Regions from separate parts of the Mus musculus genome. Here all the other regions are reported to be linked to region 1. Evidence: microRNA targets listed by miRTarBase, many of them from high-throughput screens and not tested one by one. Region 1 holds a microRNA gene; each other region holds the end of a gene's coding sequence.
Evidence for each region. The annotated mature microRNA mmu-miR-9-5p reads UCUUUGGUUAUCUAGCUGUAUGA and lies in region 1 at 1,428-1,450, opposite strand. An mRNA with a match to its seed (bases 2 to 7 or 8) in the 3' UTR can be bound and repressed. Matches are read on the target gene's strand: a 7mer-m8 pairs with bases 2 to 8, a 7mer-A1 pairs with bases 2 to 7 and ends in A, and an 8mer does both.

Region 1 (3,079 bases):
ATAATAATGAATGCTATGAGACATGACTTTAAAATATAACACAGCCAAAACAAAAGCCAAAGGTGGTCACAAGGCCCTAACCACATACTGAGGACTTCTCTGAGAAGGGCATGCAGTTCTGGGGCACTCTTGGCACCCTTTCCACTTGTTTTCCTTAAATGGTGAAAATTTCAACCAAAGGAGAAATCCAAATTTAATCATGGCCAGATTAAACAGAGGTTTAAAAATGAACAGAGACAGTACATAGCAGCTACCAACCAGTTGGTGTTGCCATTTGGGAGGCTGCAGATGGCTGTGGGTGGGAAATGCCTTTACTTTCTTAAGCGATGGAGATGAGTATGGTGTGTGTGTGCTTGATGTTTTTTTCATACCCCTACCCCCCAACAGGGCTGTCTGTCATAGGCTGCCGGCCAGGCTTTACCACTTGCCCCCGAGCGTGGGAATCGGAGCGTCCTGCCGTTCACATCTCCTGCTTTCCGTTTAGCGGAATCAATTAGGCAAGACAGACCCTCAGATTCCCCACCCCCTTTCCATTTTTGTCAGGTCTATATACGTCCTAATTATTTCAGTTTGGGATGCCAGAGCTGTTTCCTGGATAGACCTGATCATCCTTAAACAAAAAGAGAGGAGGCGCACACGTGGGTTGTGGCGTAAATGTCACTTTCATTTCCAATGCTAGGCGCAGAGTAAGACAGAACATTTTTTTAACACTTTGACAAGAGGGGAGGCGATCTCGTCTCCATCATGTCTTTCTGCTTCAGTAGCTTCCTCAAGGAAACCCTCTTGGAACAGAGAAGCATCTGTCCTTGTATTTTGAATAGAAGAATAAAAATCAGCCTTTGCCCCCACCCCTTTTCCCTGCTAGCTCTAAGTCTTCGGTAGATATAAATTATTAACCTTCCAGTATAAGCTTTACTGAAAGTCTAACTTCACAGAATTTGATGTACACACCCAAATACATAGAAAGTTTCCAGGCACAAGCTTCAAACTTGGGGGAGGGGCCTCAGATAGGAACAGCCCAAATCTACATAATTATGAAATCATTTTTAAGCGAGGTACCAGACATCACTATAACAGCTTTCTAAGAAAAAAAAAGAAAAAAAAAACCTCATATGTAAACGTTTGCTTCAAAATGAACAATATAGAAAATACATGCATCGTCACCCGTAAAAAACACTACACAATTCTCCTCTCCAGTTGTACAAGCCCCTCAAAGCCTGGCCCCTTTAGATTTCAATATGCGTGTCACTTAATTTTCTTGCATCCCACTTTCAATCATAAGATAAAAAAAGTTAGATTCAATAAGCATTCCTGACCTTTCTGGTTTTTACTGTCTCTTGGTTGCAGTCTTTCTTTCCGGAACGTTCCTCGGTGACCTTGAAGGAGTTTTTACTTTCGGTTATCTAGCTTTATGAAGACCAATACACTCATACAGCTAGATAACCAAAGATAACAACTCGCTTCCCTCACAAGGCTGCCTTCCTCTGGCTGAACTCCAGATCTCGATCCTCTTTGGCTTTAGGGAAGCGTAGTCCTCCGGGGTACTTGCCGCGTTTAAGCTTCTCCTTTCATGTAAACATGACCTGGTTTCTGTCTTAGTGTGTGCGGCTAGAACATCCAAATGAGATCTGTTGCATTCAGAGTTTATTCCAAACTTTTCCCCTTCCAGCAAGTAATCTCCAGTATCGTTAGCCAACAATTCATCTATGAGTATCAGAAATTAAGACCAGAGACTAAGGTGCAGCAAGCTGTTGGGGGTGAGCAGCAGTGTCCTTCTCTTCACAGGCCTCTATTTGCATTGTAAATTGCTTCATTCTCACGGAAGATTCTTTAGCCTTCCTCTACTGAGATGTATAAAGCCATCGGCAGTTTCCAACGCTGGTTAAAGAGGAAGAAGGGGGAAATCCCATTCTATAGAAGTGACAGCTGATTCAAAGATCTGCTCCGGATCATTGGGTTAGGCATCATGATCTTTTTTACCAAGTGCAGGCAGCTTGATTGCACATATCTTGTATGTGAATGTTTTAAGGGAGATCCTCGATTTCTTAGGACTTCTAGGCGGGCAGAGCATGCCCTCTTGCTGGCGTACTGCTGCCCCGGTCTGAAAGAAGGAGAAAAGGGCCATCATTGGAGGGGCTTTCACCGCCAAATTGTGGACCAGCCCGGCAAGGTCAAAGGTTTGAGACTGCGGGAGACCAAGGTAATGATGATGTCATGAGAAATCTCAAGTACATGGTTATTGATATGCATCAGTGGTCACCCAACTGCCCCACGCCTGCTGCCAGGAGTAGCACAGGCGACGGCGGCGGCGACGGCGGCAGCGGTGGCGGCGACGGCAGCAGCAGCTTTGCAGCAGTCCCTATATTCTCAATCAACATTTCATCCACTAGCACTACGGACTGCTCCTTGAAAAGCAACCCGCGGCCTTTTACCTCCTTGGCGCTAGTGTAGATCGCTCTAATATCCAAAGAATGGAGAAAATCTCTCTCTAAGGATAGATAAAAGCATTTCAGGTCTGGGGAACTTCTTTGCCTGCATTTCTCTTCTGGCAGATTGCATAGGCAGGCAGATGGAAGGCACTTTACTATTGCTTAAAGCAGGGCCTCGCTTTCTGGGGCTGGGAATCAGCTCTGTTTTTACGCAGTGAGTCGATGGTTACAATGACAATTTGCTTTGGTGTTATGTTTTTAATGGCTTTACAGCTCAGTCATGTTTTCTATCTGTGTACCGTGGCGATAGGGCAGCATATTTGTTCTGTAAGTTCGAACTGCACGATCTAAACAGTGGGGCTTCTTTTTTAAAAATGCTTTGCATATAGAGTGTGTGTGGGGGTTAGCATGCTGCACAGGTAAACATTGCAGCAATAGTTTCAATGTTGTACACAACTCTGCTGTAGCAAAAATGCTGAGCCTTTGTCTACTGTTTTAACATAAATTTCACACTGGACAATAATGCACTAGACTTGCTTATAAAATTAAAATAAAAGTCTTGTCTCCTGAACATGTAGATCCAACACCTGGATGGGGAGGGAGGGAAGCTACCACACCTCCCTGGCCCCACCCACTCATATCCTTCTATC
Region 2 (3,079 bases), not on the chromosome of region 1:
TAGCCCCTGCCAGTTCGGAAAAAAACTGTCCTGTCCCCACTTCCTTCCTTTCCTCCCTTCCTTCCTTTCTTTCCTTCCTTCCTCCCTTTCCTTACTTTTCCTTCCTTCCTTCCTTCCTCTTCCTTCTTCCCTTTCCTTCATTCTGAGATAGGATTTCCTCCCGTCATAGTACAAGCTCTCCTGGATCTAACTGTGTAGTCCAGGATAGCCTCAAATTTAGCAATTTTCCTACCTCGGCTTCCTGAGAGCAACATTCGAAAGTGTGAGCCACTACACCCAGCTTCTGCTTTTTTGCTTTTGCAGTGCTGGGATCAACAGCAGAGCTTTTTCCTGTGTCAGGGAGGCCGCCTGCCACCATGCTCCAACCTGCTCCCCCACCCCTGTCTTTAAAGTGCACTTGGGACCAGATGGAGATTACAGAAGGAACTGTGTTTGGGGGAGGAAGGTATACTGGGAACAGGCCAGATTCCATTCTGAAGGGACGGCATCTAGAGACGGCGATTATGCCAACAAACCGGAAGCCCCAAACCAAAGTCAGGAGTGGGAAGCACACACAGCCCAATATGGGAGAAAGAACGAGCTTGGAGCTTCAACCTGAGGGTTCTGTGACAGAGTAGCACACAGTAGTCCCTCAGCCTGCTCACTCCCCAGAGCCAGGGAGCCAACCATTCTGACTCCACCTGCGTATAACTATTGGCACAGACAGGTGAGCAGCGGTTTCTCAGCAGTCCGCCTTCTCGAATTTTCAGAAGATGTTTTAAACCAACTCTAAGTTCTGGTTGTGATATCTGGAGTGGAAAGTACAAGAGGCTTGGGCCAGAAAGGGAAACAGTCCCTTGAGTAGTCCATGCTCTCCAACCAGGGAAGGGAGCACAAGGCAGACCTCACAGGGCAGAGGAGACCGCCTCCAGTGTGCTGACTCCGGTGAGGGATGCGTATGTGTGAGGGAGAGAGCGGTGTCGCAACCTTCCACTGGGGCCTCCTCTGTGTTCTGTGTAAAGAGGGAAGGGGTCTATTTCTCTCTTTTCGTAGATGCTAAGACATTCCTCTGCTTAAGGCTTTGTATGTACACTGTGTGTGCATGCGTGTGTGCGTGTACACGTGTGTTTGTGAGAGAGAAGAAGGGCAGCCTCCCCGCTCCCATTTTTCCTTTATCTTTTGTGACCTCTACTCAGTGACTGACATCACTCGGTGTAAGAAACGAGTCTATGGAAGAAAGAAGAAATATTCCCTCCTCCCTAACGCCCAACGAGGAAGGGAGACTATGCTTAAAAACTGCTAAATACATCATCAGATACTTAGAGGGGAGGACAGAGAGGAGAGACAGCAGCAGCTTCTGATAGATAGATACAGAGTACAAAGAGATACGGAATAGGAGGAGACATCAAACAGTCCAACATCACGGGCTGGGGAGGGAGTTAGTGTCAGAGACCACAGGTTTTGCAGCATGCTGAGAGAAGAGGCCTCAGTCCCTCTTAGAAACTGGGGAAGAAAGAGAAAGAGGGTGTGAGGAGCCAGCCCGGCCTGGCCTCTGTGTAGGAACAGACAACATAGAACACCACGAAGCCAGCCCCACCCCCCACTGCCAGCCAGTCCAATCCATGTTTCTCCACCCCAAGTCTTGCCAGCATCCTCTCCCCCTTAACACATCTCTTTCTCTCCTGCTTTTCTGCCTGAGCCACTGTCCGGGGAAAGCCTGGGAGGGACGCGGCCTCGTGCATCTCAGCAAGACTGGACATTTTCTCTTGATTCAGCAAAGGAGCTATAAAGTGTACCATAACATAGGTCTCTCTGACCATCTGGGGTCTAAAACAAACATGGAATATGCCCGGTGACACCAGGTCCTGGTGTGATCGGGGACTTGGTGTGATTGGGGAGGTGTTGAAGCTGGAGGGTTAGTGGATGGGGAGGCAGCTGGTTTCCATTTTTACTGACCGTACTGTTGTTTCTAGCTAGAGACACCGAGAGTCTTTGGCAGCATATGTCAATCCAGGAGTAGTGCAGACATCACCTTTACACGAGGTGGCTTAGACATCTCTGTGTATCTAAGGCTATTTTAAGGCTATTTTAGGGTAAAGGCACAAGGTAGTAGACCGATGGACAGCAGCCCTTGCCTTTAACAAAAATTTTAATGTATGACAGTGACCCCTAGTGGTAGAAATGAGTACTGTGATTACCACCAGCACCTAAGGGAAGGCTTGGGGCCATGGGAGGTCAGGGTTGGCTATGAATGAGATTTGGGCTTTTTAGCAAATGTTTCTGTTTGGTTTTGATACAGGGTCTCATGAATCCAGGACTCCTTTGAACTCATGATCTCCCTGCCTCTGCCTCGTGCAGCCATACAGGGCCAAGCAGGAGTTGGAAGATTTTGGCTCAGTCACTAAGTGCTTACTGAACAGACATGAGGACTATGTTTGGATCCCCAGTACCCCAGGGGACAGAAATGGGCAGATATGGGGGGTGGGGTGGGACAGAGGGAGGGTGGGGAGGTGACTGACCAGCCAGTCTACCCCAAAACAGCAAGCTCCAGGTTCTGTGAGAGACCTCAAAAAGTAAGATGGAAAGTGAGAGAGGAAGACACCCACACCAAGGCTGGCCTGTGGATGTGAGCGCGCACACACACACACACACAAATGAAGACACCCACACCTACTAACCTTGGCCTCCTGATGTGGGTACACTCATGCACACACAACACACACATACAGACACATACAAACATATACACATACACATGAACAGGAGAAGCAGCCATGGCCAGACAGGAGGAGGCTGGGGCTAGGGAGGGAAGTGGCCTGCAGCTACCTGAAAGTGCAGATATGTGGCCAGGGTTGGGAGTTAGCTGGCTGCTGTCTCTTGGTGGAGAGGGAAAAGCTTGGCCTGGTCCTCAGCCTCATAGCCACACGGCAGGTCACTCCTGGAGGAAGAAACAGCCTGTCAACAGCTCTGCCCCCACTGCGGCCAGCACTCTGACAGCGTGCCTGAGATACTGAAGGGCGGGTGAGGGCAGGAAGGATGCAGGCTTCCTAAGGAACCTCAGGCCTTGCCCAAGGTCGGAACGTTCCCTGAGGTACGGAGA
Region 3 (3,079 bases), not on the chromosome of region 1:
AGCCGCCCGTCGGCGCGGCGGCCGCGGGGACTTCGGGCAGCTCCCTGGACAGTTTCTCCAAGGGCTCGCTGAAGATCAGCTGGAACCCGTGGCGTCACGGGCTGTCATCCGTGGACAGCCTGCCCCTAGATGAACTGCCCAGCACCGTGCAGCTGCTGCCACCACCTACCCCAGTCCCTGCTCCTGCCCGGGCGGGGGAGCCTCAGGGCGAGGGCCAGTCGCGTTGCAAGTCCAGCGAGTCTCACAGCGCCTCTAGTGACACTATAGAGCTCTAAGCACCTACGGAGAGAACCTGTACCCTCTCCTCAATGTCCACAAGAAGAGGCTGAGCCAAGACAGTTGAGCATTTGAAAAATTGGCCCTCCCGGGCCTCCACCAGACTGCAGCTCCCGGGTACAGCCGGGCTTGAATTTACCCAACTCGTTTTTTGTTTTTGTTTTTTTAATATCTCTATTTTTTTCAGCAGATATTTTGCACAGAGGCCGTGAGTTACACGGAACACAGGGTGGATGTGCATGGATTTGATCATGGGGGCCAGGGGCCAGGTACCCCTGACCCTCTCAGTGTGGAGAGATGCACCTCACTTGTCCAGACTGACTGTCCTCTTTGTGCCAAAGAAATAAAAACCCTTCCGATTGGGCTCATGCCTCGCTCTGGTCAAGCCAGGGTCTCTCCTCACAGCAGAGACCTCTGGCTTTGGTAGGTACAGCCACCCCTATCTCACTAAAAACCCGTCTGTTGTGGAGTCCCCACCTCCTGCAAACCCCATATAAGGCCTAATCGGAAAGTATCCTGCCCACTTCCGGAAATGAGAACAGCTGGGGTTCAACCCAGGAAGACCGACTCCTAAGCTGGTTCCTCTGTCATCTTTCCCCTTCCTCCATTTCTTGCTGGTTTTTATTTAAAAACATTGTTTTTTGTAGATTTATTTTATGTGTATGAATGTTTTGCCTGCATGTCTATGTGCACCATGTGTGTGCTTGGTACCCAAGGTCAGAGACTGAGTCCAGTCCCTTAGGACTGGAGGCTGGATGGCTGTGAGGCACTGCATGGGTGCGGGGAATTGAACCTGGAGTCTCTCTGCAAGGGCAGCAACTGCTCCTAACAGCCTCCCTGTCTCCCCAGCCCCTTTCCAGCACTTCTCTAACATGGCAGCCCATGATTCCCCAGGGCTGTAGAAAACTTCACTTTAGTGGCAGTGGTGGGTTGTTAAGACTGAAGCTTTTCCCATTTTCAAGACCGTCCTTTATTTCCTGAGATGAATAAATAAGTCGATGGCTAGGGCGTGGGCGGTGAATACACAGCTGGAGCTGGCAGCATGCACCTGGCAAGGGGCCTATGGGGGCCCACCCCTGAGGGGACACCTCTCATCCGGGTCAGGGGCCAAAGCCCACCTGCAACCTCCCTGGGGAGAAACTGTCTTGGGATTCATACACGGTGAGGCCTGCCAGTGTCCTAGGCTAGGATCTCGTGGCATCTGCTTCAGGACCTCTTTTTCAACCCCCTGGGGCCACTGGGGTCCTGGGCTGCTCAGTAAGGCAGGTAAAAGGGTGTTTACCCCAGTCTCAAAGAGAAACTATGCTGTCCCAGGTATCCATAGGGAGAGAGAAATAACCTCTAGGAGCAGCCTGGGTGGGAGGAAATCCTGTGAGTGGCGGCAGGGATTATCTACCCTTGATGAAGCCCTCCAGCACACGGTCACTCCGCTCTGACAACCAGTACCCAGTCATGGCTGCCACAGCTCCAATGAAGATGGCAGTGAACACCAAGTCACCCTTGGCAGCAAGCGTGGCCAGCGCACAGATGATTACACCAAAGAACATCTGCTGCAGAACCACCATTTCATCCTCCGTCATCTCCGCAAAGAAGCCCGCCGACTCTGCAGAGGAGGTGCGCCTGTCACTGCCTCCTTCCTGGCAGTTCCCGGAGCTGCCCACACCTCCCACACGCCTGATCACGGCTGCCCGGGCCCGCCTAGCTCACCAAGCACAAGCAGCATTCACTACTGAGAAAGCCTTGCAGGAGCTACCTCACTAAGCTCGAAGGAAGCTGGGAGGTGAAGGGACTGCTCAAAGCTTTGAAGGACGGTCCCTGGGAACATCAGAAAACTTGGGATAGGTGGAGTTTGCTGCCAAATCTAATTCTCTTTCTACGCGGAGGTGAGACCACCAAAAGCCGACCTTGAGGATGCACAGGGACTGAGTCTCAGGGCAGCCTCTCTGGGGGCTGGGTAGCAGTGGGGTGGGGCCCGGAGGAGGAGCTTGTCTGCTCTCCCTCAGGAGCAGTCCAGCCTCCCACCCTGCTTACCCGGGACCTGCTCCTTCACGCAGATGCCGTCCTCCTGTCTGTAGCCCTCAGCACAGACACAGCGGTAGCCTCCCTCCGTGTTTTCACACTTCTCATTCTCTCCTGGACACACCACAGTCTCACACTCATCCACATCTGGGGGTGGGGGAGGGGAACAGGTCAGGGTGCTGACTGCCACAGGCTCCCCGCACAGCTCCCCACGGTCTCAGTGTGCATCCTTCCTTCCCTTGCCTCCCCCATACTCCAGCCCCTTTTGGCAGAAGACTCACCTAGGCACTTGGAGCCCACCTGCTGGTAGCCACGGCTGCACTTTTTGCAGCGCCCTGGCCCTGCTCCCATACAGCCCAGGCAGGCCTTTGCACAGTCTGAAAAAGAGAGGGCAGAAGTGAGGGGTGCCCCCCCCCCCGCCCCAATCTCAGGCTCTGGAGCCTGAATAGCAGAAGTTCGGAGGGAAAGGCCTGAAGCACCACCTCCTGTCCCTCTCTTCCATTCCAGCCTCTCCCTTGGGCAGCCGACACTGACCTCGGCACTCGTAGGATCCTTCTGTGTTCACACAGAACTGGTCAGCTCCACAGGTGGCTTGCTCTGTACCACACTCATCGATGTCTGTGGAGAGGGCAAAGGTTGGGAGTGTCCCTTTGCAGAGGAATTACGGCAGGACTGTCCAGGAGTGGACTTGTCTATGATCGCAAATGTGGTAGATGCTGCAGGCCGACTACCAACTCTTAAGTAAGGGCAGCTGGATTAGCGCTATCCTGTCAGACACTCGAGC
Region 4 (3,079 bases), not on the chromosome of region 1:
GCCCCCTACTACTGCCATCATTCTGGGGCTTAGCATTTCAGCATGTGAGTTTAGGGGGCTCAGACCACCGTCTCAATATAAATCAACATGCTACATCTTCATTCCACTAAGGAATGCTTCATTTCAAAGGGAAACAGAAGTGTAAACAAAAAAAAAGTTTCCTTAGTTACACCGAATGAAGAAAATTGGTTACGGCTTTTTAAATATCTATTTGTGAATATGTCGTTTCATTTGTATGTCTCTGTCATTTTTGTTAATATGAGTAACCTGGATAGTCTAGAACCTATTAGACCTTGTCAAGTCTTGTTTTGTTTTTTTAGCGACAGTGATGAAAAACCTCTCAAGGGAAGCCTTCGGTCCCTGAATAGGAACATGCAGCCCACAGAGAGTGCTGACAGTTTAGTGGAATATGGAGAGGGAGACCAGTCCATATTCAACGAAGATGGATCGTTTATTGGCGCATACACTGGAGCTAAGGAGAAGGGATCCGTTGAAAGCAATGGAAGTTCAACTGCCACCTTCCCACTCCGGGCATGAGAACAACACATTCAGGCACCACGGGTGGCTAAGCCGGACAAGGGGAGCAAGGCCTTTTACACAGGAGCGGAAACGCGTGTCCAGAGGTTGATATTCTGCAATTTTGATGAAAGAAATAGCACTGCCTTCAAAAAGAAAAAGGGAAAAAAAATCAGATGCCAAGAACTTCAGACTTGTGTTTCATTTTGGGTTTTGATTTCAGGTGCTCAAAATGCAGAACACGAAACAAATCCTGTACTTAGATCCACTTTGACTGAATCCAAAGTTCCCATTTCAGATACTCCACATCTACCTGGCTCTCCTGTTCAGTGTGTGTGCATTGATGTTGCTAAGATGTGTGGGTTTCTCTCTGGATGCACAATTATACTTAGTTTTGAAGAACTGTTTTAGTGAATTCGATTCACTACAGGATAAAAGATTGTAAGCAAGCAAGCTGGTTATTTAAAATGTAAAAAGGAACATGATTGTCTTATTAAACATCCCGTGGAATCTATACAGTCTAAAGTTATTATTTAAAATTTTAGTAGCAAAAGTCTTAGATGATCATACCACTCATATTTATTGAGCTCCTAACTTTTTGCCCAGACAAAGGCCATCTTTACTCAGATTACAATATTTTCAGTTTCTGGATGATTCTGTTTAATTTCTGTTAGTAATGGTAACTCTGTATGTACCTTTCCCTCCCTCCCTCCCCTCCCTCCCCTCCCTCCCTCCCTCTTTCTTTCTTTCTTTCTTTCTTTCTTTCTTTCTTTCTTTCTTTCTTTCTTTCTTTCTTTCTTTCTTTCTTTCTTTCTTCTTTCAACTTGAACTAACTGGAGCTGCAAAGGGAGTGGTAGTCATAAGTTATTTTAAAAAGAGAAAGATGTAGACGTCTTGATTTTATATCTTCATTTGTAAGTTTAGGGCTTTCAGCCTTTATGTTTATATACTGAGACCCTTGAGTGTATTTCATGAATGCATTGTACATATTATGTTAATATTTACACAGTTTAAAACATAGTGTTTTATTTTAAAGTGAGAAAAGGAACATTAATAGGCATGATTGTACAGCTAGAATATATATAGTAAGATACCATTTTTATTCTTCTGGGGCTAGATACAATAACATGAGGTTCCATATACAAGACTATATGAAAAATTGGATTCTGTCCTTATATTTCCCTCCTTCATGTGGTCTCAAAAATAAAACATTATATAATCATAGAGGGAAATACATTCATATTTTCCAAAGTAAGTTGTGGAATGGATTCCTACCCCAGCACTCCAAAAAGAAAATTACCTACAGTAGAAATTCTTATATACCTGTTAGTTTATATCATATTGTAAATGTATTTGTAGTGGTATGATCATTTTTAATGTTTTCCTTCTATCAAAGTTAGTACAGATTCAGGGATTTTAATTTCTGGCATGTGGGCTACCAGTCCATCTAAAATGGTACATAGGGTTTAGAGCATTTTAGAAATCCCTTGAAGGACTCTGCATACATATAAGTAAATGTTAAATATTAGTATTTCCTTTCACATTTAATGGAAACATTTTAGCTTCACCATGAAATTATTACATGTTAAGTGATATTGGTTCACAGATTTAACTTTAGTTTGTATAATTACTGACCATATTATTCATTCTTCATGTTTAATTGGCATAATGCATTGTGTTACTTGGGGATTTAAATTGTGGACATGCAAAAGAGCCAATGCAGTAATAAACATGAAGCATATGTTTTGCCCACAGGCATCCTCGAGAATGCATAGGCAGGAAAATCTTGGTTTTGTTTTTGTTTTTAATTTTTGTGGATGTTTCTTGGGGTTTTGTTTTGATTTTTTGTTTTGGTTGGTTTTGGGTTTGTTTGTTTGTTTGTTTTTAAAACCCATGGATCTCAGTATTCAGTTACTCTCCTGGAAGTACCAAATGAAAGCGGGTGTGAGTGTAAGGATCCAGAAGTCCAGCTGTGTGAGCAGCTCTCCAGCCCTTTCTGATGACCAGGGCACAGATTTCTGGAAAATCCATCACTGTGTGCTATTTTTATGGGAGGACCTGTAGTGCTGAGCCCCAGAGGAAATAATGGATGTGACTGACATTAAACATGTTATTATTCTGCCTCCTCTTTATCATCAAAATGTGCCTGGAAAAGGGTTATATAAGTGGAAAATAACATCCAAACGTTCAGAATAGAGTCATTAGGAATTTAATAATCTTCGAGTGAGAAGTTGACACAAATACTTATATTTCCAATGGATCTCATCATTCTTTCCTTAGCTGTGGGAATGGGAGATTGGCTTATAACACCTTTTGCTAGCCTCTGTGAACTTATACATACTATTTGGTTTCATTCCGTTGTAACTCTTCAGCAAAGCAGGCCAAGGTCCATGGACTTTTTATTTTAATTATAGAATTATATTACTTACTACATTCAAATGAAAACAAATCCAATTGGTTAAAGTGGATTTTATTCTTTTACTGTCTCAAACAATGGGTGGCAGACTCTGACGTGCAATGCTGACTACAATGGGCAATAATAATTGTTTGGAAGATGCCCACT

Region 2: miRTarBase lists Kif5a as a target of mmu-miR-9-5p. The part of its 3' UTR that is shown has no 7-base or 8-base seed match.
Region 3: miRTarBase lists Prrt3 as a target of mmu-miR-9-5p. Seed matches in the 3' UTR shown: 7mer-A1 at 612-618.
Region 4: the mRNA of Chl1 is a reported target of mmu-miR-9-5p. The part of its 3' UTR that is shown has no 7-base or 8-base seed match.

The regions. Positions count from the first base shown.
Region 1 is chr13:83,737,192-83,740,270 of GRCm38, reverse strand. It overlaps Mir9-2 (microRNA 9-2), which reads right to left and starts at 1,457; the gene lies at 1,386-1,457. C130071C03Rik (RIKEN cDNA C130071C03 gene) reads right to left here. Exons shown (of 4, transcript NR_152245.1): 4 at 1-2,101. It overlaps Gm51268 (predicted gene, 51268), which reads left to right and starts at 1,395; the gene lies at 1,395-1,450.
Region 2 is chr10:127,226,940-127,230,018 of GRCm38, forward strand. Kif5a (kinesin family member 5A) reads right to left here. Exons shown (of 29, transcript NM_001039000.4): 28 at 2,806-2,917; 29 at 1-1,482. The coding sequence ends at 2,839. Among named protein-coding and RNA genes, the nearest start is that of Pip4k2c, 17 kb to the left of the region's middle.
Region 3 is chr6:113,491,487-113,494,565 of GRCm38, reverse strand. Prrt3 (proline-rich transmembrane protein 3) reads left to right here. Exons shown (of 4, transcript NM_001289700.1): 4 at 1-927. The coding sequence ends at 275. Creld1 (cysteine-rich with EGF-like domains 1) reads right to left here. Exons shown (of 10, transcript NM_133930.2): 7 at 2,830-2,913; 8 at 2,577-2,672; 9 at 2,308-2,442; 10 at 1,223-1,879. The coding sequence ends at 1,665. Among named protein-coding and RNA genes, the nearest start is that of Prrt3, 8.9 kb to the left of the region's middle.
Region 4 is chr6:103,728,799-103,731,877 of GRCm38, forward strand. Chl1 (cell adhesion molecule L1-like) reads left to right here. Exons shown (of 27, transcript NM_007697.2): 27 at 321-3,079. The coding sequence ends at 537. Among named protein-coding and RNA genes, the nearest start is that of Gm52914, 19 kb to the right of the region's middle.